Linked DNA regions of Callithrix jacchus. The protein of the gene in region 3 interacts with the protein of the main gene of each other region in a biochemical or structural test. Links are inferred from orthologs where the notes say so. Each region holds a gene or a part of one and is shown on either strand. Other genes may lie near its edges. The genes, in order: MAPK1, ETV1, EP300, SIRT2, APEX1, GABPA and STAT3.

The links.
Region 1: of the proteins of EP300 (region 3) and MAPK1, one has a biochemical effect on the other in vitro, tested with the Homo sapiens proteins (2 studies listed by BioGRID). The link is inferred for Callithrix jacchus from reciprocal best matches to the Homo sapiens genes EP300 and MAPK1.
Region 2: of the proteins of EP300 (region 3) and ETV1, one has a biochemical effect on the other in vitro, tested with the Homo sapiens proteins (2 studies listed by BioGRID). The link is inferred for Callithrix jacchus from reciprocal best matches to the Homo sapiens genes EP300 and ETV1.
Region 4: of the proteins of EP300 (region 3) and SIRT2, one has a biochemical effect on the other in vitro, tested with the Homo sapiens proteins (3 studies listed by BioGRID). The link is inferred for Callithrix jacchus from reciprocal best matches to the Homo sapiens genes EP300 and SIRT2.
Region 5: the proteins of EP300 (region 3) and APEX1 form a complex in vitro, tested with the Homo sapiens proteins (4 studies listed by BioGRID, with this or other methods). The link is inferred for Callithrix jacchus from reciprocal best matches to the Homo sapiens genes EP300 and APEX1.
Region 6: the proteins of EP300 (region 3) and GABPA form a complex in vitro, tested with the Homo sapiens proteins (2 studies listed by BioGRID). The link is inferred for Callithrix jacchus from reciprocal best matches to the Homo sapiens genes EP300 and GABPA.
Region 7: of the proteins of EP300 (region 3) and STAT3, one has a biochemical effect on the other in vitro, tested with the Homo sapiens proteins (2 studies listed by BioGRID). The link is inferred for Callithrix jacchus from reciprocal best matches to the Homo sapiens genes EP300 and STAT3.

What each region holds. Positions count from the first base shown.
Region 1 is NC_133502.1:193,829,245-193,833,520, forward strand, and holds the start of MAPK1 (mitogen-activated protein kinase 1), read right to left. Parts: upstream 2,805-4,276; 5' UTR 2,593-2,804; coding exon 2,474-2,592; intron 1-2,473. UniProt on the Homo sapiens protein: Serine/threonine kinase which acts as an essential component of the MAP kinase signal transduction pathway. MAPK1/ERK2 and MAPK3/ERK1 are the 2 MAPKs which play an important role in the MAPK/ERK cascade.
Region 2 is NC_133512.1:44,476,271-44,480,284, reverse strand, and holds the start of ETV1 (ETS translocation variant 1), read right to left. Parts: upstream 2,814-4,014; 5' UTR 2,784-2,813; coding exon of another isoform or gene 2,754-2,783; 5' UTR 2,705-2,753; coding exon 2,618-2,704; intron 2,108-2,617; coding exon 2,020-2,107; intron 632-2,019; coding exon 584-631; intron 188-583; exon of another isoform or gene 125-187; coding exon of another isoform or gene 64-124; intron 1-63. UniProt on the Homo sapiens protein: Transcriptional activator that binds to DNA sequences containing the consensus pentanucleotide 5'-CGGA[AT]-3'. Required for olfactory dopaminergic neuron differentiation; may directly activate expression of tyrosine hydroxylase (TH).
Region 3 is NC_133502.1:191,951,652-191,955,166, reverse strand, and holds part of EP300 (histone acetyltransferase p300), read right to left. Parts: intron 2,864-3,515; coding exon 2,786-2,863; intron 2,049-2,785; coding exon 1,939-2,048; intron 825-1,938; coding exon 687-824; intron 115-686; coding exon 1-114. UniProt on the Homo sapiens protein: Functions as a histone acetyltransferase and regulates transcription via chromatin remodeling. Acetylates all four core histones in nucleosomes. Histone acetylation gives an epigenetic tag for transcriptional activation.
Region 4 is NC_133523.1:34,434,204-34,438,082, forward strand, and holds the end of SIRT2 (NAD-dependent protein deacetylase sirtuin-2), read right to left. Parts: intron 3,073-3,879; coding exon 3,013-3,072; intron 2,743-3,012; coding exon 2,687-2,742; intron 2,486-2,686; coding exon 2,409-2,485; intron 2,326-2,408; coding exon 2,274-2,325; intron 1,626-2,273; coding exon 1,555-1,625; intron 1,425-1,554; coding exon 1,358-1,424; intron 1,235-1,357; coding exon 1,079-1,234; 3' UTR 508-1,078; downstream 1-507. UniProt on the Homo sapiens protein: NAD-dependent protein deacetylase, which deacetylates internal lysines on histone and alpha-tubulin as well as many other proteins such as key transcription factors.
Region 5 is NC_133509.1:55,179,673-55,183,688, reverse strand, and holds APEX1 (DNA repair nuclease/redox regulator APEX1), read right to left. Parts: upstream 2,807-4,016; 5' UTR 2,730-2,806; exon of another isoform or gene 2,638-2,729; intron 2,457-2,637; 5' UTR 2,386-2,456; coding exon 2,328-2,385; intron 2,129-2,327; coding exon 1,941-2,128; intron 1,367-1,940; coding exon 1,174-1,366; intron 1,040-1,173; coding exon 522-1,039; 3' UTR 258-521; downstream 1-257. Other genes in the region: OSGEP (tRNA N6-adenosine threonylcarbamoyltransferase), read left to right, coding at 3,341-3,455.
Region 6 is NC_133522.1:31,940,253-31,944,532, forward strand, and holds the start of GABPA (GA-binding protein alpha chain), read left to right. Parts: upstream 1-1,480; 5' UTR 1,481-1,580; exon of another isoform or gene 1,581-2,165; intron 2,166-4,280. Other genes in the region: ATP5PF (ATP synthase peripheral stalk subunit F6, mitochondrial), read right to left, coding at 1,448-1,464.
Region 7 is NC_133506.1:121,758,019-121,761,533, forward strand, and holds part of STAT3 (signal transducer and activator of transcription 3), read right to left. Parts: intron 2,700-3,515; coding exon 2,640-2,699; intron 1,275-2,639; coding exon 1,245-1,274; intron 1,144-1,244; coding exon 1,050-1,143; intron 954-1,049; coding exon 906-953; intron 1-905. UniProt on the Homo sapiens protein: Signal transducer and transcription activator that mediates cellular responses to interleukins, KITLG/SCF, LEP and other growth factors. Once activated, recruits coactivators, such as NCOA1 or MED1, to the promoter region of the target gene.

The DNA.
Region 1 (4,276 bases), about 1.9 Mb from region 3:
GTTAATAGGGTATGTCATCAACCTGATAAAAGGCTATAATTTGAATCTAGGATTCAAATACCCAATTATATTTGCATTTGTGTTTTAGTTAGAAAGGAAAATCATAATAAGAGGACCTAGCATTCAAACGGAGAGTCAGAAGGTCAAACGAGCCTACAGCAGTTGACAGAATTAGTTCCCAGATCTAAACTTCAGACTAGTAAAAACCTTATCAGATAGGGGAAACCTTATCAGATGGGGGTATCTTTTCAAGTGATGTGTCCTAAACTTAAAAGACTTTTTTCAGTCCACATTTTAGATAAGTTAATTTTGTTAAAAGGGCCAAAGGACATGATGGGAAATTCTGAGCCTCTCATAATGAGACACGTTCACGGGCACACTTCCCAGTGAGTGCAACAACAGTGAGATGTATGGTACAGAAATGATGTTATTGGCAATACTTCCTCTCCATTACTTTTTAGGGCCTTATTTCTTTTTTGTGTGTGTGAGACGGAGTTTCGCTCTTGTTACCCAGGCTGGAGTACAATGGCACGATCTCGGCTCACTGCAACCTCCGCCTCCTGGGTTCAGGCAATTCTCCTGCCTCAGCCTCCTGAGTAGCTGGGATTACAGGCACGCGCCACCATGCCCAGCTAATTTTTTTGTATTTTTAGTAGAGACGGGATTTCACCATGTTGACCAGGATGGTCTCGATCTCTTGACCTTGTGATCCACCCCCCTCAGCCTCCCAAAGTGCTGGGATTACAGGCTTGAGCCACCCCGCCTGGCTTTAGGGCCTTATTTCTTTTAGGCTCGACCTAATTTAAATTCTCTCTTGGCTCCTAAACCTGTGAGTTCATGTTAATTTTTACAATTGTATTCAGCATTTTGCGCCTAAATAAAGTGAAAATACTGTAATCCCAGCTACTCAGGAGGCTGAGGCAGAAGAATCACTTGAACCTGGGAGGCAGAGGTTGCAGTAAGCAGAGATCTTGACACTGCACTCCAGCCTGGGCAACAGAGCGAGACTCCATCTCAAAAAAAAAAAAGTGAAAATATGAAAGATTCAATTAAAGTCTCTTTAAAAAAATTTTAAGTAATCTTTCTATCTAGCTGCAATACTTGGCAAAACATGCCTTCTATTGCATTTCTAAAATTATGACGATTGAAATCTGAATACACTTCTGAAATAGACTTACATTTACTTTATAACAGTGAAATACACAAAATTCTGCAATTATTAATTACCCTAAGGAAAGCAGGGTGTTTTCCTAAAAACAGCTGAAAAGAGGTGTGGTGTGTGAAGTAGAATCTCACTCTACAATCTTAAGAATAACTCTTTAGTTCTATTACCTCATCCTGAACTTCACCTCAAAATACTTTATCACCTGAAATACCTTCTCACCTGAAAAAAGGAATAACACCATCTTTTCCTCCTTCAATGTGGCTGTTCAAATAAAATGAAATCATGTATGTTGCACAGTACCTACCATGAAGTGCTCAATAAAATATCGGTTTAATTCCTTCGGTCAACACAAAAGACACTGTGATTTAAGGGAATCTACTTCCACAAGTCTTCACCAGCACAAAATGTTACAGCTAGTTTGCTCTAATAAAAACAATACAGTCACCATCACTTCACTTTTCTAAGGGACCTAAATCAAGATGAGGGAGCCTACATGTGATTTTGCAAAAACTCCAGAAAGGCTGCATACTTATTGACCACTAAAGTCCACAGCAATTGGGCTAAAACATCTGGGAGCATTTATGCTGGTAAAAGAGCTCACTAGGGGACTAAAAAAAAAAAAAAAGTCAAATTAGGCCCAACTCTAAACGGATCTTTAATAAATCAAGAAACTGAGGCTGAGTTAACCTTCCTGAAACGCCAATAGTGTGATATTAAAATCCACTTTAAAGTAAAAACTTCAAGACGGAAATAACACTGCTGTCAGCAATGCATTTTATAAAGCCTGCGCGCAGACCACCATTAGCACCGCTGAGGATATTTAATCAAAGCCGTTGGCTGCAAAGGCGAGTAGAAAAAAAATGACTATTTTGGTGTTCTGCACACACGCGGAGACAAATCGCTTTCAGGACCTCAGCAGCCGCCGCCAACACCGACAAGCATCTGATGGAATTCCCAGTTTACAATCAAGCAAGCCATGATGTTAGCAAATTGAGGAGTGGGGGCGCTTCCGTTGCCTTCCCGAGGGTCCAGACTTTAAAGGCCGCGTTGCGCCCTGGGCCCGAGACCCAGCCTCCGGCCTCCGGCCTCCGCCCCCCACGCCACTCCCTGCGCCCCTTCCCGAGCGACCGCGGGCCCGGGTCTCAATCGGCCCGGGGCACCGCCCGAGTCCCGGCGCGCGGACCGCGGTGAAGTCCGGGTTCGAGGTCGCCGCGGCTGCCGAGGCCGAGGCACGGGCGAGGCCGAGGCTGCGTCCGCCGCGGCCCCCGGTGGTGGGGAGGTCGGGCGTGGCCAGGCACGGACACTCACCACACCATGCCGTAGGCGCCCTCGCCGATGTACGAGAGGTTGGTGTAGCGCGGCCCCACGTCGAACACCTGCCCGCGGACCATCTCCGGGCCCGCGCCCGCCGCCGCCGCCGCCGCCATGTTGGTTGCCGGGCCGCCGCCGCCTCCGCCGCACTGGACTCGACGCTCCGCGGCCGCCGCTCGGCTCCTGTCGCCCCTCCCGAAGGGACCGCGCCGCCGCCGGAGCAGCCGCCGCCGCTGACCGGGAGGAGGAAGGAAGACGCCGGGGGGGAGACCTGAAGAGCCCACAGCCGCTCGAGCCGACTGCCTGCCTGCCTGCCTGCCAGACAGACGGGCGGGCGGAGGGAGGGGCGCGCGCCGAGGAGAGTGCCGGGGAGGGGGCCAAGCAACGTGCGTGCAGATTGGTTCTTCGTGGATGGGGCGGGGCCAGGCGGGCCGGCGGAAGCGACGGGCTCGGGGTGGGGCACTGCGGCTGCGTTGACTGAGGGGCCACCCCCGGGCGTGGTCACGTGTATTCGCGGGGTCGGAGGCGCGGGACTCGGCTCTTGAGAGACTCAGGGAGACAGACGTGGGGCAGAACCTATGGGACTGAAGTGACATGTGGCCGGGGCCCGCGCCGGAGCAGGGTCCTAACAGAACCAGCGAGGGCTCGGAGCTGTGCCTGAGGCTTGACGACGCGCCGTAGCCCGGCGGCGCCACAGCTCAGGCCTCTGCTAATCCGTGGCCCACACGCTGATAAACTAAGAGGCGTTGGCACTGGGGCAGAAACCGAAAGACATGACCCAGACTGAGAAAGATATTTCCATACTGAGAAAGTGAGAAGCACAATTGTCTAGATTAAAAGGAGACACTGAGAGGATAGGAGAATCAGAGCTTAGCTCAGATGTTTGTTGACCACACTCTATGTTCCTGGGGATCCACCCTCATAGAAGTTACATTTTAGAGAGAGGAGACATTTATTTATTTATTTATTTATTTATTAGAGACAGCGTTTATTTATTTACTTGTTTGTTTTTAATTAATTTATTTTTTAGAGACAGCGTTTCACCATGTTGGTCCGGCTGCTGTCGAACTCCCGACCTCAAGTGATCCGCCTGCCTCAGCCTCCCAAAGTGCTGGGATGACAGGCATGAGCCACGGCGCCCGGCCAGACAAATACATTTAATACTCAAGCTGTGGTAAGTACTGTGAAGAAATATAAAGCAGAAGGGAGGGCGCGGTGGCTCTCACCTATCATCCCAGTACTTTGGGAGGCCTCGGCGGGCGGATCACTTGAGGTCAGGAGTTTGAGAGCCAGGTCTCCACTAAAAATACAAAAATTAAAGGCAGGCACGGTGGCTCACGCCTGTCATCCCAGCACTTTGGGAGGCCGAGGTGGGCAGATCACGAGGTCAGGAGTCCAAGACCAGCCTGGACAATATGGTGAAACCCCGTCTCTATTAAAATATAAAAACTAGCCAGGCGAGGTGGTGAATGCCTGTAATCCCAGCTACTTGAAAGGCTGAGGCAGGAGAATTGCTTGAACCCGGGAGGCAGAGGTTGCAGTGTGCTGAGATCTCACTACTGCACTCCAGCCTGGGCAACAGAGCAAAGACTCCGTAGGAGGTGGGGTGGAGAGAAGTTATCGAGGCGAGGTGGCAGGCACTTATAATCCCAGCTACTTTTGAGGCTGAGGCAGGACAATGGCTTGAACCTGGGAGGAGGAGGTTGCAGTGAGCCGCCACTGCATTCCAGCCTGGGCAACAGAGCAAGACTCCGTCTCCAAAAAAAGCAAAAGGGATTAGGGAGTGGTGGGTCGAAACAC
Region 2 (4,014 bases), on a different chromosome or scaffold from region 3:
AATCCTCGTATCTCCCAAACATTTATTTTAAACCCACAGATTTCCTAAGTATTGGATACACACCTAACGTTCTGTGTTGTGAACAAGGTGGAAAGAAGACACTTGCACTTAAATCTTGAAGCATCCCGTCCTGATGAACCCAGAGAAACTAATTTCTGCCATCAGAAAAGTCCTCCACCAGAACACCAAATAATGATATGCGCTGCTCGAAAGGAAACAGCAAGCCAGCCGGGTTCTGGCTCTAGGAGGTCTCTGGAGGTACAATAATATAAACCTGATCAATTGCAATTAAAATCTGAACAGAGGCTTAGAACTTGAAGTCTTGGTGCATTAGTTCTTGCCAAAAGCAGATGTGATTGTGAGCTGGAAGCAATTTCTCCTGGTAATTTGTGATGACACTGGGTAGTGCAGCCCCAGAGTCCCCAAAGACAAACTCATCAGAGGCTCTAATGTATGCATGACACATGAGGTGGCTCTTTTAGAGCTCAATTAATTGGGCTGAATATTAAGACAGCAAGTTCAGGACTTTTTTTTTTCCTTCCAGAGTTGCTTTTCCCCCCTTTTAAAGCAATTTTTGCCTTACCTTCTGCAAGCCACGTTTCCTGTAATTGACTTAGATCTTGAAAAAGTTCTAAAAAACAAGTCAAAGACATAAACATAAGATTTGCAAATCTGCAGTCTGCATTAAATGGAAATGTTTGTCATGAAATTGGTATTAAATATAAATTTAATTTCAAGAGATGTAGTCAACATAAAAAGAAAATAGGAGGCATGACTTCAGTATCTCAATAATGCTGCCTACTTTTCATGCCTATTAAGCAACTCTTTAAGAAATTATTTTAGTCAACTAAAGAATATAGTCAATCATCTTTTCTTTTTCCTTTTTAACAAACAACTTACTAAATAAGCTCAGGATTACCTGAATTCACAAAAAGGCTGAAATGAATGTGTGTCTATTCACTGAAATCTTTCTCAAATGTATTTAACTCCAGCTAAACTAGTAGTGAGGGGAAGATTAGGAAACCGAAAAGCATTTTATTTATATCTTCTGAATCTTACCTAAAAGATATGACAATACATGGTATAATTGTAAATACTATGTTTTCAACTTTTTTACCTCAAAACTAAAAGAAATCACTTCAAATACAAGTTTTTAGAGGAAAATTACTACAATAAGAGGTTTATAAAAGTCAGACACACAATTCTCTGGCACTAGGTTATCATCAAGTTCAAAACTATATGGTCATGTTAGGGAGGGAGGGAGGTGTCTAAATAGTATGAAGATTTGAGGAAGTTTCAGAATTCAGTATATCTAATTAAAATTGCCAACTGAACTTTGATAATTAAATCTAAGTATATTAAGTTTATTATGAATGTCTCCATATGGCTGCAATAATTTGTAATATATTGACTTCCTACCAAGAGTTCATAAAAAGAATCTACAAACTAATTTCCCAAACAGTATTATAATGATTAAGTAGGCCTTAAGTATGATTCAGTGAACATTTTATGGCCAATAAACAAGGTATTATGACCTCACAATTTAGTCATCAAAATCGCCCTTGAAAATTCTGTTTACAGTAGATGGTTTTAGTGTAAAGGGGTGGAAAACCAAACAATCACTAATATTGTTTAACTTGCAATAAAGTAGAAAGAAAGAAAGTAAGCAGTGTACATAGCTGTTGAATTTGTCCCACTGTATTGGACATTTTTTAATTGTTATCTTAGTGAATGGGGTGAGTTATATGCCATATGGACAAAGGTATTTAAACACAAAACAATGATTAAAAGAAGGATGTCATTGTTAAGTTTTTATTTCCTTCTTTCATTAGTTTGTGATAAGGACCATAAAATATTCTTCCATGCAAACTGCCACATTATGTAAATTGTTCCAAGTTAAAGTCTTAAATTCAGTAATTTCAAAGTTTATTATTTTAAAGTCTGAAGTGCTCCTTTTCTTTTAGCAGGGTGGAGAGTGTAGGTAAAAAAATAAAGATTCAGCCCAAAATCAAACCTCACCTTCTGAATCATGAGCCAGATCTCTGTTAATGAATTTTCTTTTCCTGACATTTGTTGGTTTCTCGTTACAATTTCTCCCACGCTGACTCTACAAAGGGAAAGATAAAATCCTTTAAAAGAATGTAAACCTCAGATGACACACACACACGTACACACACATGCACGCACGCATACACAAGTCTAGTGGATCTTCTCTCTGAATAGAAAAATAAAAGTCCATAGTATCAACTGTAATATTCATTTTCTCACTTATTTGACAGTGAAAGCTTAGGTTGAGAATTCAGCAGTCAGGGAGAGTTGCTTCCCAGTGCCGATCCTAGGACATTACTATTTATCAGTCATATATTCATGGTATCTCAGCATCAAAACAAGCTTAAGCATTTACACTTAAAGTTGTTTTTAGGCTGTTTCAATGCTAGATTAAAACAGTGAATTTTATTCTCTCTTGGACAACCCCTCCCCTCCCCCGCACCAAACCAAAAAAAAAAAACCAAAAGAGTAGAGAAATTTAAAAAAGAGAGAGAAATAAAACGGGGGGGAAGGGAATAAGAAACAAAAACACCCCATATAAACAAAAAGTGTCAGCATTTGTCTCAACTTCATTCTTTTCAATGTGGCAGACAAACCCAGCCAAAAACTTTGAGTGCAGCAGCTGCTGCTGCCCTCCACCTCCTCTTCCACTCATCTTGGGCACTTTAATCAGAAAAAAAGGGGTCTTAAAAACAAAACTATGCCTTATCCAAATCACTGAAAGGTAAGCTCATTTTGAAGACTGGGCTTCTAGAAGCAGAGTCGCCCTACAGTGGCAACAAAGCAGATAAGTATCTGCAATCCCAACCCCCGTGCCCCCTCCCTTCTCATTTTCTGCCTCTCCCCACCCCCGTCGGAGTCAAGTTTATAAACAGCAACTTTCAAACTGATCACTCACATTGGTGACCATGTAAGGCACTTGCTGGTCATAAAATCCATCCATGCTGCTGCTCTTCGCAAATCTCAGCTCAGTATTTTATATTTTGACCATTTAGCTGGAGATTTCCTCGGGATCTGGACTTCTATCAACCTAGAGGGGAACAAGATGGCTTTTAGGCTTAAAAAAAAAAAAAAATCATGAATGAAGCTCTTGAATTTGCATAGCTAATTACCCTCCGACAGTCCCATTCACAAAAATAACCCTCCCTACACCGCCTCCTTCACCTGGATCCAAAGAGAACCAAGAGAGTTCACAATTTATATATTTTCGGTAGTAGCAAAAATCCGAACAAGAGGCGATGTATTTATTTACACTCTCGATGTTTCCCTGCGCGGTCGGTGTACCCCGGGCAGCTCTGATTCGCAAACGTGTGCAAAACTAGCAATGGCGATCAACGAGACTTGCTTTGCACCTAACGGGACTAAAGAGACGGAGACACCTCTTTCATCAGGATAGTTTTTGCGACCCACAACCATGCAATTATCTGGAGAGACATAGAAAGTTGTTGGAAAGACCCACCTGAAGGCCACGCTAGGCGAAAGGCTGCAAAAACTTCCCTCCAAATTTAATAAAAACATTAATTATTGCCCAGCACTTCCCCCTTGAAAGCCGAAAGCGCCTCTGACAGAGCTCAATTCGGTGGTTTTTCCTCTACTTCTCCTCCAGGGGCCTCCAATCCAAACTGATGGATCGCTGCCTCCCATTGGCTCCGCGTCTCTTTCACAAGATCAGATTTCGGGCTGTCAATCAGGCGGCTTGCTGCCCCTTCCCGCGGGTCTCCCTCGCCCCTCGGCCCTAGGGGGTGCTCGGCGGGTAGGCGCTGGGTCCGCAGCCTGGAAACGCCACGGAGAGACTCGACTTCCTCGGAAACCCGCAGCTTATTGTTAAGGCGCCCGGGGATACTGAAACCATGTGTATCGAGTCTCCAGTTCTCATTATTGGGGTGTTAGGTCCACTATTGGGCTGATTTCCTTATAGCGCTGTTGTGCGGTTCTTGTATACACTTCGAGGAGCGATCCACAATG
Region 3 (3,515 bases):
GGAATTCTGATGCAGAGCTGGTTGAGGAAGCTGGGGACAGTGAATGTGGCTCCCCTGAGACCCTGGAGGCATTATAGGAGAGTTCACTGGGCAGGAAGAACTAGACATTTGTGCCTGTTAAAAAACAACAAGACAGCAATTCAAAACAGAAGGAAATATTTATACAGGCATGTTATATGCATTTAGGACACAAACTGATTAAACAAACAGTAGCAATGTGTCTATTTCATAAAGTGTAAAAACCCTATTACTGGGGATATATCTTTGGAGAGCACCATCAATAAAGTACTTAACTAAAGAGACTTCAAACCATTCAGCAGAATGGCCTTAGTCACTGCAGAAAAATGGCAGAATTGAGTGCATAGTACTCTAGGGCCTCCCTATGCTCTCTTCAGCCAGAGTTCCTTCTACGGTCTAGTAAATTCTAAGATTTTACTTTAAAAGTGTTCACTACAAAAAAAAAATTAAAACCATCCATTTAAATTATTTCCTAATTTGTAACAACACCATTGCTATGTCATAATCTCTTCATGTTCTGAATGCCCTAAGTCCAAAATTGTTATTTTTTAAAGAATCATCTGTTTTCACTCATTGTTTGCTGCCACTCTTTCCTATAAAAACCTAAGTCAAGAGAAATTTCAAGAATCAAAAATAAGTTAAAAAAAAAATCCACTTATAAGACATACTTGAGACACTGGAGCTTGACCGCTGGACGGAGCCAAAGACATATTTGTTACATTCATTCCCTGTGATGGGAACTGAGTCTGAGGAAGGAACTGGCTCTGGCTGGAAGGCTGCTGCATACGAGGCCCATAGCCCATAGGCTGCAAAAAACCAGAGCACCAAACTATTCATTCTACTATAACTGAAATCATCAAATGATCCTAATGTCAGGCTTATTAAGCAGAGAAAAGTCAAAGACAGGAGTATAGGTGAAAAGGGCTGGAGAGGAATAGGAAGAAAGTTGTGGAACAACTGACTGTTGCGCCAAGATAAACGGGAATAGCCTCACAGCTTACCTAGGCCTATGCTCAAGAAATAATAAGAATGGGACAAACATACATTCTCTTGATATACAAATATACCTAGCTCTAACAAGGATAGCAGGTAACTTTCTTTGCATGCTCTAAGTGAGGAGAGTGAATCACAATTTCATGAGCTCACATCAGTGATGTAGTAATAGCACAAATTCTAAGAACCATAATATGTAAAAACAAATAAAATCTTACACGTTGTGGCACAATCTGGTAGCATTCACGGTCCACAAATGCTCCAGGATTGTTACACTTCTAAAATTACCCTACACAAATCCAGGCCTTAAAGAAAGAAATCTGTAGTACCAAAGGCCAGCCAAAAACTTCGTAAGCTAAGAACATCTGTCTTACAGGTTGAAATGAAGGACAGAACTCCTTGTTGAAAACGGCAGATTAGTGAGAAGTAGTAATGCTCAGGAACCCCTCAAAAGGCTGAAGAATCAGAGGCACCAGCTAACTCTAAAGGGCAGCAGGAGGGTTGGGGTCAGTGTGAAGAGATGGACTGGTTAAGAGTTCGCCTAAGGAGCAGGAGATGCCTAGTCTTTCTTTTCTGGTCTCAAGAACCAGTCAAACACACCATCACCCTTGCAAACGACAGACAGTTCTCTGCCTGGAGAAGGGAAGACAGACATCAGGGAAGAGAAGTGACTGTGAATATGCATGCAGGCTACTAAACATTGAGACTCCAGGGATAAGGGCCTGGCTGTTTTTATTTTTTTGTCAGCTTTCTAATAGGGCTAAATACATTAAAATTACAGAATTACAGAAGAACTAGGAGTTATGGTCTGTTTAAATGACTGTGAGAATTTACAAAGCAGGAACAAACAGGATTAAGCAGGAACAAACAGGATTTTCAAAATACCAGGTAAAGGCCAAAGAGATTACCCAAAGATGGCAAACTAACCGGGTTGAGAGTTCCAGGCTGAGCCAACTGTCCATGGTGCTGAAGAGGAGGGGTTTGCCGGGGTACAATAGGGGGCTGGGCCATGCTCATCTGGCCAAATTGATTCAAACCTGTGAATATGTACAAAATAGTAGATCTGAATGCCTTTGTGAAATTGAAGAATAAAATAATTCTTATGTCTAATTCTATAACATTTTATCAGGGCTAATAAACCTGCTTTCAATCTTCCATGTATAAATATATCTGTCTCATTTGCAGCAGTTGTATACAGGCATTAACAGGATCTCCAAACTAAATTTTACACTCTACAAATGTACCTTTTTTTTTTTGAGACAGAGTCTCGCTCTGTTGCCCAGGCTGGAGTGTAGTGGCATGATCTGTTCATTGCAATTTCCACCTCCTGGGTTCAAGAGATTCTCCTGCCTCAGCCTCCCAAGTAGATGGGATGACTGACAGGCCTGAGCCACCATACTTGGCTAATTTTTGTATTTTTAGTAGAGACAGGGTTTACCACATTGGCCAGGCTGGTCTTGAACTTTGACCTCAGGTGATATACCAGCCTCAGCCTCCCAAAGTGCTGGGATTACAGCTTTAGGCCACCGTGCCCAGCCTGCACTTCTTTTAAAATGGATGCTGCATCATTTAATGTCACCTGCCCAGTGATCTGCCAGCCAACCTGCTCTTCACCCCCTCTTCCTCTAAGGGCTCCAACTCCAAGGGGTTTTTTGAATTTCTCAGGCAGGTTATCATGACACTTGCTGTTGACATAAAGTGGGTATCCAGATAGCAGGTATTATCTTGCAGTACATCAGGGATTCTTTTAAAATAATTTTTTTTCACTATTTACCAGACTGTGAAGTTATCCGAGGGATCATCTGGTTTGGCACACTGCCACGGATCATAGTTGGATCAGGCAGAGGACCATCTAGAGTAAAAAAGAGAAATAAAGAAGTATCTTTGCACCATCTGCCCTTAAACAACCAAACTCACTGTGAACACTGATCTTAAATAATATGCATATTATAACACACTATATATCTTGTACCTCTAAAATAGAAAAATAGAAGTAATTCTTTTTTATTTTGTTTCTCAAGTGATGTTCCTGCCTTATCCTCTCAAATAGCTGGGACTACAGGCACATGCTCCCATGCCTGGCTAATTTTTGTATTTTTTGTAGAGATGGAGTTTCAGGATATTGCCCAGGCTGGTCCTGAACTCCTGAGCTCAAGTGATCCGCAGCCTCAAGCTCCAAAGTGCTGCGATTATAGGCGTGAGTCCACATGCCCAACCCCTTTTATGCTTCTATTATTTTCGGTGTATTAGGTTAAGGTAAGAATCTCATTTTACAAAATGTCAGATTTAGTATAAGCTAAAGGTCAACAATTAAGGCTGATATTCAGTTCCACTACCTTTTATTCCTGCTTTCATCGGTACCAAACTGTTTTTACTCTGACATTAGAATAAAATTTAGTATCTCACAGACTTTAGACTTGGCTCAAATTTCACCCAGAACTTGAGTTAATTCTACCAAAACCAAGTATCTCATGTATGTCTATTTGTTTTTGTATCTTTAGTTA
Region 4 (3,879 bases), on a different chromosome or scaffold from region 3:
CTGCCCAGGCCACAGCAGGAAGGAGGGGAGAGGAGGGGAGAGCAAGGCAGATGCCTGCCTGGGTACGGTGACAGGGGAGGAGGCTGTGGGTGGTGCTGGGCAGGGCTGGTGGGGGGGCAGCTGCCTGATACCAAAGGGAGGCAGAGGGGCTGAAGATGCCAGATGCTCGGTCCCTGGGGGCCCTACCTGTTCTCGGAGGAGAAGCCTGCAGTGGCAGGAAGTGCAGAGAGGAAGCTGAGCAGGGGAAGAGGCGGGGCTGGGGTATCTGAAGTCAACCTTCCTCCCTCTTTCGGGGGCTCAGGCTTTCAGTGACAACGCTTAGAGGAAGGGACACTGGCAGGCTGGGAGTCCAGGGGTCAGAGCCATGAGGGGCCGCCGTGAGGACCCTTTTGTCACCCCTCACTCTGGAGCCTGGAGACTTTCTGGTTTCTCAGTGGCCTGAGACCTAATCCCTCCCTTCAGCGATTTCCCTGGCTGCGGCAGAAGAAGCAAGAGGCCAGACCGGACTGTTAGTTGTTTTTGTTTTTAATTTGTCTACAACAAGCAATGTCTTGTGGCCACCCAGCATGGGAAGTGGGTCCCATGTGAAGGGGCCCACCACCCACTTTGGGTGTTGAAGGCAGAGACTTGGGAGCCCCTCTGGCTCAGACTCCCCTATGCTGGGTGTAGGTTTCATTCAGAGGCCCACAGCCCTGTTGGGGTAGGTTAGGTCTGGTTTACTTAGCCACAGGCCCCTGGGGGCAGGAGAGAGAGTGGGGGCCCGAAGCTCCCTGTCCTTGAAGAGTTAGAAGTCTGGGGTGGGCCTGGCCCCGTGGGGGTGGTTAATGATTAGTGGAGTGGTTAGAGATGGTGGGGCTGCTAGAGACGCCTGTCCAAGCCTTGGTCTCTAGTAGGTGTTAGATTTGCTGGGGTTGGAGGGCAGGGTCGCTGGGACCCCAGTTCTAGGGGGGAGTGGTTAAGAGATAGGGAGGTTGTTCTGAGCTCCCCAGACAAGAACAGCAGGTTAAGAGGGGGCCAGGCCTGGTTGGGGCTCAGCTGTCCCTGAGGGGCTGGACATCCTGCCTGGGAGTGGCAGCTGTCACTGGGGTTTCTCCCTTTCTGTCGTCCTGGCCTCCTCCTTGGCAGGTGGTGGGGACTTCCTGGGGGAAGCTGAAGTGCTGGGGTTGGGGGCCCCTGCCTCTGACTGGGCATCTATGATGGCGTGCTCCCTCCGGACAAGGTCCTCCAGCTCCTTCTGCAGGGGGAAAGGTCACAGAAGTCAAAAGTCACTGTGCATCATGGGGTCAGAGGACAGATGGGGCTGGGGGAGGGTCTAGGGACGGGCCTCAGGACAGGCTGGGGTCGCCTGGCTCCTCACCTTCCATCCGAGGAGCTCAGCAAGGGTCAGGCAGCCCTGTTCACAGTCACCCAGCCAGGCCACGTCCCTGCGGTTCAACAGGAGATCAGAGTTCCCAGGCAGGCTCGCCCCTGCCTGCTCCTCTCTTCTGCCTTGTGCCCTCCCTCCCACCTACCCTGTCCCTTCCTGGCTGCCCCTGACCCCAGGCGGGGCCTCACCTGTAGGCTTTCTTGGAGTCAAAGTCCATGCCTCCGCCAACGCCCATCATCATCCCCAGGAAAGGGTCCAGCTGCCATCGAGCGGGTGGGGTGGGGTAGGGAAGAGAGAGCTGAGAGCACAGACTTTTTCTTTTTTTTTTTAGATGGAGTTTTGCTCTTATTGCCCAGGCTGGAGTGTAATGGTGAGATCTTGGCTCACTGCAACCTCCGCCTCCCGGATTCAACTGATTCTCCTGCCTCAACCTCCCGCGTCAACCTCCCGAGTAGCTGGGATTACAGGCATCTTGCCACCACACCAAGCTACTTTCTCATATTTTTAGTAGAGACAGGATTTCACTATGTTGGCCAGGCTGGTCTCGAACTTCTGACCTCAGATGATCCACCCACCTCAGCCTCCCAAAGTGCTGGGATTACAGGCATGAGCCACCGCACCTGGAGGACTTTGTATTTTTTTTTAGACCACCTCCCCTCACCCCACCGCCTCCTCCTCCTCAGGCCCTGGAAGCCTGGCCTTCTTGTTCTGGGTTCAGCTGGTTTGAGTTGGAATTCAATCATTTGCTCAAAGGGGTGGTGGATGTCCCAGAGGCCTGGAACCCGATGCCTCTGGATTCTAGAGCCCCAGGGTCTGAACTGAGGAGTCCAAAGAACTGGGGTTCCCCGGCAGGGGTTCCCTTTGAGGAAGCTGGTGGGAGGGAAGGGATGTGAGGAAGGGCTCTTACCTGGCCAACTTTCTCCTTGTTGATGAGCAGGCGCGGGGTGGAGAGGGGTGCCCTGGTGGGAGGGGAGCTGAGAGATCAGGGTCTGTCCTGGTCCTGGGTGCCCAGCCACCCTCCCAGCCGCAGCCCCCAACCTACTTGCTGATGAGGGAGGCAAAGGGCTGCACCTGCAGGGAGGTGCCCATGATGATGAGGAGGTCCACCTTCAGGAAGTCCTGCGGGGAGGGGTGAGGTCGGGAGCCTCTGCCCAGGCTGAGCCACCGCTCCCTCCTCCGCCCCCAGCAGCAAACCTCCTTCCACCCCTCCACAGCCAGGGAGGCAACCTTTCTTGGGCAGGGCTCAGGCTGCCCCCAAGGGGCCCAGCACAGGAGGAGGTGGGGGCTGGGGGTAGGGAGGGCGGTGCAGTGGGCACTTACTGACTGCATGCATGAGAAGAAACGAGCTGGGAGGCTCTCACCAAAAAAGATGATATCTGAGGCCAAGACAGAAACAGAGACAGTGACACGGGGAGGAAGAGAGGACGGGAGGGGGCAGGGGCAGACCCGGAGGCTGGGGTGGGAGCTGGGTGCAGCGGGGACCGGCCAGAGACACAGACTCCCCTCTCCCCAGGATGGATCTGGGGCACTGTTCAGAGAGACAGAGGTGGCCAGATGTGTGGGGGTGTGGCCTTTGGGAAGGGGTCAGAGGAAGGAGGGGACCCCCACCCAAATCCACCTGGACAGGACCCTGGCCCGAGGCTCACCAGGCTTCACCACACTCTGACAGCCCTCACACTTGGGCGTCACCTCCGAGAAGATCTTCCCTGGGTGTGGAGAAGGGGAATAGAGAGAAAGCAGTAAGAGGCTCTGGTCCAGGGTCTGGAGGTCCAGCACACCCACCCCCTCCACCGCTTGTATGAGCACATCTCCGTCACTTGGACATCTCCTCGGGTGTCCATTCTGTTTAGTAAACACCTCTTTTATTTTTTGAGACAGGGTCTCACTCTGTTGCCCAGGCTGGAGTACAGTGGCACAATCATGGCTCACTGTAGCCTCGACCTCCCAGCTTCAAGTGATCCTCCTGCCTCAGCCTCCTGAGTAGCTGGGATTACAGGTGCGTGCCGGCATGCCTGGCTACATTTTGTATTTTTTGTAGAGTCACGGTTTTGCCATGTGGCCCAGGCTGGTTTCAAACTCCTGGGCTCAAGCAAATCTGCCAACCTTGGCCTTACAAAGTGCTGGGATTACAGGTGTGAGCCACTATTCCCAGCCTTATTTTATTTTATTTTATTTTGGGCAATAGAGCAAGACTCCATCTCAAAAAAAAAAAAAAAAAAGGCCAGCAAGCATTTCTGTCACTTGCAACCCACTGAATTCTAAGTCACTTGCTCCACTGTCCATTCGTTCATTCAGCACACATTTATAGAGCATTGTTTCCATGTCAGTAGTCGGGAATTGTCTTTAAGCTGTTTCTGTGTGGACCGCATGACACCGTGGGTGCTGCCTGTGACGGCACTGTCAGTGGCACATAACGGGGGTAATGTGAATTGTACACTGCCCCAGCTGCCCGCAGTTGGGCCATTCAGGACTCCTCAGCCCAGGGGCACTCAGCTGGCATTTTGTCAGAACAG
Region 5 (4,016 bases), on a different chromosome or scaffold from region 3:
GATGTGGGATACGTTCCCCTATTCCTGAATTTTCCCTAATTCCTCCTTCCAACCTTTTTTACCCCCCAGTTGCAGTATTTTAACTGGGCTGGGTAGGGTTGCTCTGTCTTTGGGGAGGTTAGGGACTTATCCTGTGCTTGTAAATAAATAAGGTCATGACTCTACCCTTTTTCAGTTGTTAACTTGTATGCATGAAAATATAAGGAGAAAGGGAATGTGTAGCCCCACGAAGGGGTAAGACACAAAGACAGCAAGGATGAAACTATGGCTTTTTATTTTCATGTGGATAATTCAAACAAAGTTACTAGTAGCCTTTGTTCAATTTTTTTTTTTTTTTTTAAAGAAACCCTCAAAAAAATCTTGAGCTTAAAAGAAATCTAAGTCTGCTGCGGGAGCCTGGCTGGAGGATTCCTATTTTTATAGATGAGAAATACAATGCAGATTTCTCTTCAGAGTGTTTAAAGAAGGAATGGTAGTTTAGGGGGATTATTTCCCAGGCTCCAAGTGATTTAGGGGTGGTGTCACAGTGCTAGGTATAGGGTGATAGGACAGTGATCACTGCCGAGAGCCTTGGAACGGATCTTGCTGTCACACAATGCAGGTAACAGAGAGTGGGACAACAAAAAATAATCAAGGCGCCAACCAACATTCTTGGATCGAGCATTCATCATGTAAGTCCAAAAGGTATAGGCATAGGCTGTGTTGGGGTATAGGTGCCTAAAGCTGTCAGCCAGTGGCACAGCCTGCAGTAATTCCCCAAAGCCTTGGCGCTCTTGTGGCGTGAAGCCAGCATTCTTTTTGTTTCCCTTGGGGTTGCGAAGGTCAATTTCTTCATGGGCTACATTGAGGTCTCCACACAGCACAAGGGGCTTTCGGGAAGCCAAGCCCTTCAGGAACTTGCGAAAGGCTTCATCCCAGCGCTGCCGGTACTCCAGTCGTACCAGACCCCGGCCTGCGTTAGGTACATACGCTGTTACCAGCACAAACGAGTCAAATTCAGCCACAATCACCCGGCCTTCCTGATCATGCTCCTCCTCACCTACAGAAATGATGAAACAGAATTAGCATAAAAAAACCACAAGAAAAGAGAAAGCAATCAAGAGGTGGGGCAGAGATGGAGAATTAGCTATTGGTTTTGAAGAGCTCAGGCATTAGGGATTAACAGGGTCTCACCTATGCCATAAGAAACTTTGAGTGGGCACTGGCGGGAAAGTAGGCCCACGCCACTGTACCCTTCCTTATCGGAGGGAGCTGACCAGTATTGATGAGGGAGTCCAGGCAGCTCTTGAAGTTCAGCTGGTAGTTTGTTCTCTGAACATTTGGTCTCTTGAAGGCACAGTATATCTGGGGCTTCTTCCTTTACCCACTATAAGTGAAAAGGTGGAAAACATCAATTCAGCAGAACATTTACTGAATATGTGCTAAGTCATAGATATGCACAGGTTAAACAGTCCCTTGGCCTAATGAGTTCAAGTAGTACAACATTTAAACAATTATAAGCTATATAAATAAAAACTAATAGAGGAAGATAAAGTATTACACGCTCTACTAAGGAGATTGTGTTTTTTCCATAGGCAGTGGATGGCAAGCTAAGATTTTAAGCTATAGTTAATGGAATGGAGGACATGCTGAAGATAAAATGGAGGAAGTATAGAAAAAAGGTTTTTGCAACAGTCTGGGAAGAGGAGAGAACATTAAACGAAAATGGCAATGGAAGTGAAGAAACGGACATTTAGAAACACGACTGGCAAAATGTGGGGAAGCCCCACATAAAGCTCTCCTGGGCAGGAGAAAAACAAAACAGCCTGAAGGCTAAACGGAAAAAAGGGGTGACTAAACCCCTAAGATCATTCAATACTAAAGAATATCTCTACCAAAGTAGAAAATGATATTTAAAAAAAGGAAAAAATACTCTCTTCCCCTCCTTAAATTCCACTTACATCTAATCCTTTCTTCTTAATCCAGGCTCGAAGCCCATCCACATTCCAAGAGCAGATCTTGAGTGTGGCAGGTTTGCCACTGGGTGAGGTTTTCTGATCTGGGGGGTCCTCATACAGGGCTGGGCCCTCTCCTGCTGCCTCTTTGTCGTTTTTCTTTGCGGCCGTCTTACTCTTCTTGGCCTCTGGCTCTATAAAATGAGTAATACATAGTGACAAAAAGTTGGTAGTTTCCAACCTCGATCCGGCGTTAACTATAAACCCAACAAAAGTGTGATGTTACCGCTACTTCTTCACAAACCCCTTAAAAAATGAGCGGCCTGTAGTTACCGTTATCAAGGAAATTCCCGCCGCAGCTTCTAGGAAGAGGGGCTTATTTCATTCTCTTACCCGTCTTGAGCTCTTCCCCGTCTTCTGCCACCGCTCCCTTTTTCCCACGCTTCGGCATTCCCGTAACGAACGCCCTTCGGAGGCACCTGTACCGTGTCGCCCACCGAAGGAGTATTTTTACCGCGTTGCCTACAGACGCAAATAAATGAAATCAGCTAAACCTGGGGAGAAGACTCCTCCCCTAAAGCGTCCCCGCACCAGGTCCCCGCTTTTCAAACCATGTTATGTCTCAATCCTTTCCCAGCCTCCGTGCATCATATGCCCTTCAGCCCCTCACCCACTAACAAGATCATTTCATAGTGCCTTTTACCCTACTGGCGAGATCTGCCCTCCAGCTGAGGATCTTAATTAAGGATCCTGACTCAAGCTTGCCGTTCAGACTGCCAGCGAAGCCCCTCTTACGAGCAGAAGAGTAACCCCGTATCTGCCTGCACTGGTCAGAACGCAGCACAGCTCCTCCTAACCCGAGCACAAAGAACGGTGCACGCTGTGCCCCCACGTGGGTAGCGGATCTGGTCACGTGATCCGAGACTCCAGTCACGTGGCAGAAGAATGTGCGTGATTGGTCTGTCTGGTACCACGTAATGGAGACACTTGGCCTAGCCTCCCTTCTCCCCAGGAGACTTAAGGCCCCAACCCTCCTTCGGGGTGTTTATTGTTGTGCCAGATGCACGGCACATTCTCTGAATGTGGCTTAAGATCCTAATGCTGTGCAAGAGGGGAAAAAAACAATAGCGAAGGCTGGGCTGGACCATAGGAAAGGGATAGAAAAACTGATAGGAATGTAAAGCACAGAGGCGGCTCGGCGTCCCTGGCAGTTAGGAAGACAGGTCCCTGGAGGGGCCTTGACGGGTCTCCGCTCGCGGGAGTTCTGTGGTGTCTCTCGCAGTGCTATCTGCAGTCTCGCCTTCTTCTTCTGTGCCCCGGAAAGCTGCGGCACAGCGCGGACTTGGAAGGACCTCCACTTCTTAGGTTGCTAGGAGTCCTGTCGGCGTTTTCTCCCCGGCTTCGCCATGCCGGCGGTGCTCGGTTTTGAAGGCAGCGCCAATAAGATTGGCGTGGGAGTGGTGCGGGATGGCAAGGTGCTGGCGAACCCGCGGCGGACTTATGTCACGCCTCCGGGCACAGGTGGGTTAGTAAGGGACTTGAGAGTTTTCCGCGCACTTCCCCGCACGGAATTAGTCTTCCATCTTCCTAAATACTAGTTAAGTGGGGCCTTGGGTGCATTGTCCGTTCTTACAGCTTTTGATCCGAGTCTCAGGGAAATTATGTGACTTTATTGACATCACAGGGCTGATAGCTAGAAGAGGTATAGGCACTTGGAGGTGGATCTGAGAAGTTAGTTTACCTTTTATTGAGCGCATTTTATGTGCTAAGCGTTTAGAAATAGATGTTATGATTTTGTTGTGGAATCAGATATATAAATAGATGTTTATTCTTCAGCATGATAAACAGTGTAATAGAGATGGATTCGAAACATTCTGTTTAAAAAATGCTTAGTAGGAATATAGATTCCAGTTGCCCTGAATATACACTCCTTTTTTTTTTTTTTTTTTTTTTTTTCAGACGCAGTTTCGCTCTTGTTACCCAGGCTGGAGTGCAATGGCGCCATCTCGGCTCACTGCAACCTCCGGCTCCCGGGTTCAAGCAATTCTCCTGCCTCAGCCTTCCACGTAGCTGGGATTACAG
Region 6 (4,280 bases), on a different chromosome or scaffold from region 3:
CCTTGTACCCTTATGGGAATACTCTTAAAAAGTTAGAAGGAGCCTGGGGAGAAATGCCAAATGTGGGTGAAGGGGAGAAGAAAAGCAAAGCACACTGCCATGTGTGTACCTACGCAACTGTCTTGCATGCTCTGCTCATGTACCCCAAAACCTATAATCCAATAAAAAATTTAAAAAAAGAAAAAAAAAGAAAAAATAAATAAATAAATAAAATAAAAAATAAAAATAAGCTGTTTACAATAAAAAAAAAAGTTAGAAGGAAACGTTCTTATCTCTGCTTTACAGATCTATGTCTAAGAAGTCAAGCTGCACATATTCATACAGCTAATTTTCTCTAAGTCTGACTGCAGAGATGTTATTCCTGCTACAACATGGGTAAAATCCACTTTCATCGTTTCAATTTTCTATCTTCTAAGTGCCTATCATTCCCGAATCGCATCTCTAATTTTGGTATTCTTCCTGAACCCCAAATCTATACACTCTATTCAACAGTTCTCATCTCCCTTATAAGTTCTACGAACTCATCCAAAAAAATTAACACATAATCTCATACCAAAACTTGTTCCTTCTTTAATCCCTTTCATTTTTTTCACTGATTAGTGAATGCATATTGTCCACTGACTCGCAGAAGACAGTCATTACACAAACAGCTGTGGAATACCACCTGCCATAAATTCTCCATTCCAGTACCATCGGGTGACACGAGAGAATATGATAGCGTCTGACATGATCAGAAAGACTGGGGAACGCAACAGTAAGAAAACACTACAGTCCGAGCAGAGGTCTTGTCGTGGGCGGGAGCAACGTTGTCCCATTACAGTGATGACTGACAGGCCAAAGGTTAGTAGGTTCGCTGTCTCGTCAGTGTATGTTCTTAAGAACAATCCATAAAGCTGCCTAACGAAGTGTTAGCACTATCATCGTTTGTAGGTGGGAAGCAAACTTTCAAGATTATGACTACTCTTTGCCCTCTTTTGGTGGACATTTTGTCTAAGGAGCTAAGACGGCTACTTGCGCCCGGGGCGGGCAGGCCTAGCCGAAAACCTCTCCCGCGCGCCTGACCTTGGGATGCCCCAGCCAGGATGCGGGCCCGAGACCTCCCAGCCTCCCTGCCTCCCGCGCGGCCCCGATTTGCCCCCTGGGAAGGTATCAGTCTTATTTCTAGGTTTAAGGCAAACTCCAAGGTCTAGAAGCGTAGAGGTCAGCTGTGACCCCGGGCCAGGCCGTAAATGTCCCCAGGACACAGAGCTGCTCTCTCCTTCTAGTAGAGCAAAGGTGAGAGGCAGCCCAGCCCTCGTGAAGAAACCCAGATCTGGAGTCCCAAGAGGCCACGCTGATCTAGCTACCCTCCCAGTCACCTTGCACTCAGTACCGAGTTGCCAAAGCCGCCGCAGCCACCACCACCACCGTCCTACTTCCGGCTCTGGCTCCGCCCCCACACGCCTACCCGCCATCGCAATGCATTATGGGCCGCCGTTTCAGTCGGTCGACGCTCACCGGACAGGAAGCGTCTCGGAGACAAGTCTGCGACCGGACGGCTCTAGGTGAGACAGAAGCCAAACAGGAGGAGGAAGTAGAGGGTAAGTGCTTCCGGGTCCCGTGGCGAAGACTCCGCCATCTTTTCTTCGCCTAATTTGACCCGTTCTCTTTCCCTCCTTGAAACCTTGCTCTGTACGCATGCGCACTTTGTCTAACCTGTCCCCTAGTTCAAGCTGTCTTTCGACTCAGCGTCCTGTTCCTTAGGGTTATCGAGGTGTATAATGGTACAGGGAAAGTGAGACTGTGTAAAACAAAGCGGATTGGGGCGTTGTGCTTCCTTGTGCCTCGTGAGCCTCCGTTGCCTTGGGCGTTTGTTTCGCGCACCCTGCTGGGAGTTGTAGTCCTGGACCTGGAGGTGCTTGGGAGGCGGGAGGGGGGTTGGGGCTTCTCAGCGCCGATTCCGCGGGAAGGGCCCTAGGGCCTCACACTTCTAGTCGCGGGAGCTGAAGGTCTTACCCGGAGAGACGCAGCACGTGGAGCCTGTGCCGCTGCCATTCTCAGCCGGCTCTGGAGCGCGGGCGGGGGCCACAGGGCCGATTCCGGAGCTGGTGAGTGCGGCCGCCGGGGAGGAGGGGAGCGTGGGCCCGCGCGGGCCGGCCTCGTTCCGGGGCCTTTTCGCCCACAGCGGCCCCCCCGCGGCCGCCTCTGTGTTTTGTTTCCGCTGGTCCCCGGCGCTGTGACTCCCATTTCCGTTCGTGGAGACTTGAAGGAGCCGGGTGGGGAGGGGCGGGAGAGGCTGTGCGGGGAGCAAAGGGGAGGGGCGGGGGGCGAGCGGCCGGGAGCCTCGGGGAACCGCGCGTCCCCGGTACCCGCGCTGGACGGGTCGCCTGTCACCTCTCCCTCCCTTCCCAGTCCCCTCCTCCCGCCAGTCTGCATTCCGCGGCAGTCTCAGCCTGCTCAGCTGGGATGTGGTCCTGACACCCCCGGGATTTTAAGAGCAAGATGCAGAGCCTGTCTCATCGCGGGACTCAGCGATTCACTCACTTCAAATCCACTCTTTCTAGAACGACACAGTTACAACAAAACCATTTGTCAGTCTTTATGGTATCCGTCAGGGTTTGTGTTTTGTTTTTAAGCGAGGAAGTAAACCAGGGAAATAACAGGGTAAAGTAGCTTCCCTACTTTTTAAAGTGCCTTGTGTGCTAGAAGACACGCCGGGTGTGCGTGTTCGGATTTAGGGACCCCAGTTTGATCAGATTAGCGGCCGAGAGGACAGTGCCTAATACTGTATTCCAAGATGATTAGAAATTTAGAAATAAAATTCACTTCATAAGTAGTTTCCACTAATACACGTAGGTCTTACTCTTGAGAGGAGCAAAGATTTAGCAGGATTCCCTTGAGCGAATTGCAGAACAGGGCGGTGATAACATTCTTAGGTAGTGTTATCTGGAACTTCAGAAGGAACTGCTCAGCTCTTTAGCAACTGCTTAAGGGACTAGCCTGTCTCTCAGGGTTCCATCCAGACTTTCCAGGCTTCTTTATATTTAGACATACACTGACGCTGGGTGGACTTAAATCAGTTCTACCTGAATTGTGTATACAGGAGCATCTGTCATGACGCATGTATAGTATTGAAGTAATTAAATCCTGAGCTAGATGTTAGGCTGAAGCAAGTCATAGGACCGAGTACTAAATTAAAACGGTTGACTTTACCCTTCCCTCAACTCTTTATATGTAAAACTGCAAACCTACAGAAAAATTCAGGGAAAAAAATCATACAGCGAACACCCATATACCCTTCACCTGGGGGGTCTCAACTGTTAATCTTTCACTCTGTGTGCTTTCTCTCTTTAAATTACATAGATGTATATGCTTTGCTTTTTCTTAGCTGCTACCTTTATTTTTGAAAATAAAAATGTCTTTTAATTTCCGTCGTACTGAAAAGCATCTGATAACTTGGGAAAATGTGCAGTTAATCTCGCAGGTACCCCCACACTCCACTTAGTTTTATAATTACAATATATTGGGAGGAAAAAAGCTCTGTAATTAATGCACTCCAGTGAATCCTCAAATAGGTTGACAACCCTCAAATTTATCTGTAGTTTCAAACAGGAATGTTCCACCTATCAGTATTTTAAAAGACACAAGCTGTTCCCAGAACTTTTCGTTAAATTCAACTTCAGTTTGTATTCCATCTTGTGAAACGTTCCGAACTCGGTTGGATGGAATCTAGCAGTACCAAAGTGTCAATGAAAGTATATGAAGTTGCTCTATGCAATTCTGACGGGGGCAGCCTTTAGATGGAGAGACTGCAAGTAATTTTCTCTCAATTTTCCTAAGTATTGACATACAAACCTGGGGAATTGGTTTCAGAAAAAGATAAGACTCACTCAAAAACTGTCATGAAAAATTTGGACTGTTTCTCAAATCTCTGTTTTGCTTCTCTAGACTAAGCATAGAGAGCCGAGAGAGAAAAAGATCATTTAAGAGATTGGGTAATATTTTTTGAAAGATCATTTAAGAAACTGAGTAATATTTTTTTTTTTCTCCAAAAGGGCATGGGTTTTTGTTTGGTTTGGTTTGGTTTTTTCTCTGGCACTTTCTAGGGAATGGTCTGTAATTTTTTTGAAAGGTCATAGGACAAATTTCTTTTTAACAACTTATTTTAGTGTTTATATTAGGGGTGCTGTTTTATAATCTTTAAAAAATTGGGAGTAGACCTCCTTATAAGTCCTGAAAATAAATGATTTTTTAAGTGCTGCTCTGCTGTAAACCTGATTCTCACTTTTTTCTGTGTAATT
Region 7 (3,515 bases), on a different chromosome or scaffold from region 3:
TCCCAGGTGCAAGCCATTCTCATGCCTCAGACTCCCTAGTAGCTGGGACTACAGGTACACACCACAATGCCCAGCTAATTTTTGTATTTTTAGTAGAGACGGGGTTTCACCATGTTGGCCAAGTTGGTCTCAAACTCCTGACCTCAAGTGACCAGCCTGCCTCGGCTTCCCAAAGTGCCGGGATTACAGGTGTGAGCCACCGCACCTAGCTAGGACTGCTACGTTTTAAAGAGGAAGAATTGTTCAGGGGATAAATGTGAGAACAAGAACAGGGTATCACAATTTTTAAAAATCATTAAACTAGCTTTAGGTCATATTTACCTTTTTCTATTAAAAAAATAAAAATTATTCTTGACACTTGACATTAAGAATCCAACTGAATCAATGAAAGGCAGAAAATAAGGGGGATAAAGAACAAGATGAGTTTTTGTTTGTTCGTTGACTTTATTTTCTCTTTTCCTAAGCAAGCTAACACAAGGTGGTCATTTATTTTAAAGTTTAGCTCGGGACTGTTGCTTTTACACCATCTATCCTACCTCAGTGAGAGAGAAAAATGGGACACTGAGAATGGAGCCAAGCAGAGTCAACGGCAGGATCTGGAAGGGGAATTTGGAAAGCCCCAGGCAAGGTGGAAAGCTACTTTATAACACATGGGTGTGGAGAACGACTCAGCAAGGGACTTTCCACTTCTCCTTAAGGAGGAGCCAACTCCCAGATATTCACAGAAATGCTCCAAGCCACAGAACGCCACAGCACATGGAACTTCTGATCAGGTCACTTTGGCCTGCAATGGCTTTTTGGAATTAACTATAGCTGAAAGGACAGGTTGATGTTTCTAATTCTGGGTAATAAGAAGGGTCTTTTCCCCTTTCTCCCTCAGGGAAAACACCCCCAACAAAACTTACATCACAGTTGGCTCGGCCCCCATTTCCACATCTCTGCTCCCTCAGGGTCTGCAAGGAAAGAAAAAGGCCAGGTGTCCCATGAGGCTCTCCCCAGCTCTCTCCCTCAGCCAGAAGCCCTGTGTGAAGGAAGCTCCTCCCACATACCAAGTGTTTGAATTCTGCAGAAAGGCTCCCATTGTTGGACTCTTCCATGTTCATCACTTTGGTGTTTGTGCCCAGAATGTTAAATTTCCGGGATCTGAATTGCAGGAGAACAGTCAGCCATATAGGTGACCAAGTATAAAGTCAGGATAAAGTTAAGTTAAACGGAACAAAAGGAAGCCTCTAGGCGAAACTTACCCTCTGAGAGCTGCCACATCCCCAGAGTCTCTGTAAGAACATAGACCGTTGTCAGTAAAACAGGGTCCATGTTTCTTCAAAAAGCCTACTTTGACCACCTGTTATTTACTCTCCTGAAAAAACCTCTGTGCTCCTGGCATTTCTATGAACAATTTAGTTACAGTTTATCAGTGCATCATAACACCTTTGTGTAGTAGGCACAGTTGGTTGCCTCCCCATAGGAAGGGGAACCCGTGTTTCACATTGCATATGTACTTATTAAACCTCCCACCTTTGTCAACTCCCTTATTTCATTATTTTCCAGTTCATTGTCATGAAATTTCCAGATAATTATATCAACTAAGTATGTATTTTCTCTTTTCTAATATATTCAAAGGGTATGTGTATCTTACATCCTGAAAGGTATTATAAAATTTTGAGTATTCCATTATATGGTAAAAGTGTGGAACAATTAAAAAAAAAAAAGGCTGGGCATGATGGCTCATGCCTGTAATCCCAGCACTTTGGGAGGCCTCAGCCTCCCAAGGTCAGGGGATCGAGGTGGATCACAAAGTCAGGGGATCAAGACCATCCTGGCCAACATGGTAAAACCCCGTTTCCACTAAAATCCAAAAAAAAAAAAAAAAATTAACTGGGCGTGGTAGTGTGCACCTGCAGTCTCAGCTACTCGGAAGGCTGAGGCATGGGAATTGTCGCTTGAACCCAGAGGCAAAGGTTGCAGTGAGCTGAGATCATACCACTGCACTCCAGCCTGGCGACAGAACAAGACTCCGTCTCAAAAAAAAAAGAAAAAAAAAAAAAAAAAGATCTATTCTTTCCACACGCTATGTATGGAAAGAATACATAAAGACATTTCAGTCAACAACAAACTGCACATATGACAGTGGTCCCATAAGATGATAAGCTGAAAAACTCCTACCGCATTGTGATGTGTGTTACGATTGCCTACGGTATTCAGCATGGTAACATACTGTACAGCTTTGCAGCCTACAAGCAGCAGGCTCTACCACATAGCATAGGCACTCTGCCACCCAGTTTGTATAAAGACCATCTACTCTACATAAATGTTGGCACAACAAAATTGCCTAATGATACATTTTGCAGAATGTATCTCAGTCATCAATTAACACATGATCTCAGTCTTATATATAAAATGCATGAATTACATGTACAAGTAAAACGCTAAACAACAGCAACCACAAATCACACCTATACCCTCAGCTTTGTGGCTTTGTTCTGGCAAGTAAATGACAATGCACCCCAGGGCTTTTGTAAACTTTCATCCCCAAAAACATCTCTGAATAAAGATAGAATCTCGAGTTCAAATGATGCCTATAAAAGTTCTCATTTTTCTGTTCCTCATTTGAAAACAAGAACTAAGATAGGAGTACTTACTTATCAATGCACACTTTAATTTTAAGCTGGTAATTCAACTCAGGGAATTTGACCAGCAACCTATTTAAAAAGAAATTATCCAATTAAAAAAAAAGTCAGTAGACTCTCCCATAACCTTTTGTTGAAGAAAGGTAAAATTCATAATTCTTCATTTCTCAGAGGTAATTGGCCAAGCTGTCTATAATTATAGGCTCACATCTATAATCTCAGCACTGTGGGAGGCAAAGCTGGGAGGATCACTTGAGCCCAGGAGTCCCATAACAGCCTAGGAAACAAAGCGAGAGCCTGCCTTTATAAAAAATTTAAAAATTAGCGGGGTGTGGCAGCATGAACCTATAGTCCCAGTTACTCAGTAGGCTGAGGCAAGAGGATTACTTGTAGCCAGGAGTTCAAGGTTGCAATGAGACATGATCATGCCACTGCACTCCAGCCTGGGTCAAAGAGAGAGATTCTATCTTTCTCTTTAAAAAATGTTAAAATAGGCCAGGCGTGGTGGCTCACACCTGTAAGCCAGAACTTTGGGAGGCCAGGGCAGGCAAATCACCTGAGGTCAGAAGTTCGCGATCAGCCTGACCAACATGACTAAGACCTGTCTCTATACTAAAAATACAAAAATTAGCCGGGCATGATGGTGTATGCCAGTCCAGCTACTCAGGGAGGCTGAGGCAGTAGAATTGCTTGAACCCAGGAGATGGACATAGCAGTGAGCCAAGATCGCACCACTACACTACAGGCTGGGTGGCAGAGAGAGACTCCATCTAAAAAAAAATAATAAAATAAAATAAAGGCCAGGCATGGTGGCTTATGCCTGTAATTCCAGGACTTTGGGAGGCCAAGGTGGGTGGATCACCTGATGTCGGGAGTTGAAGACCAGCC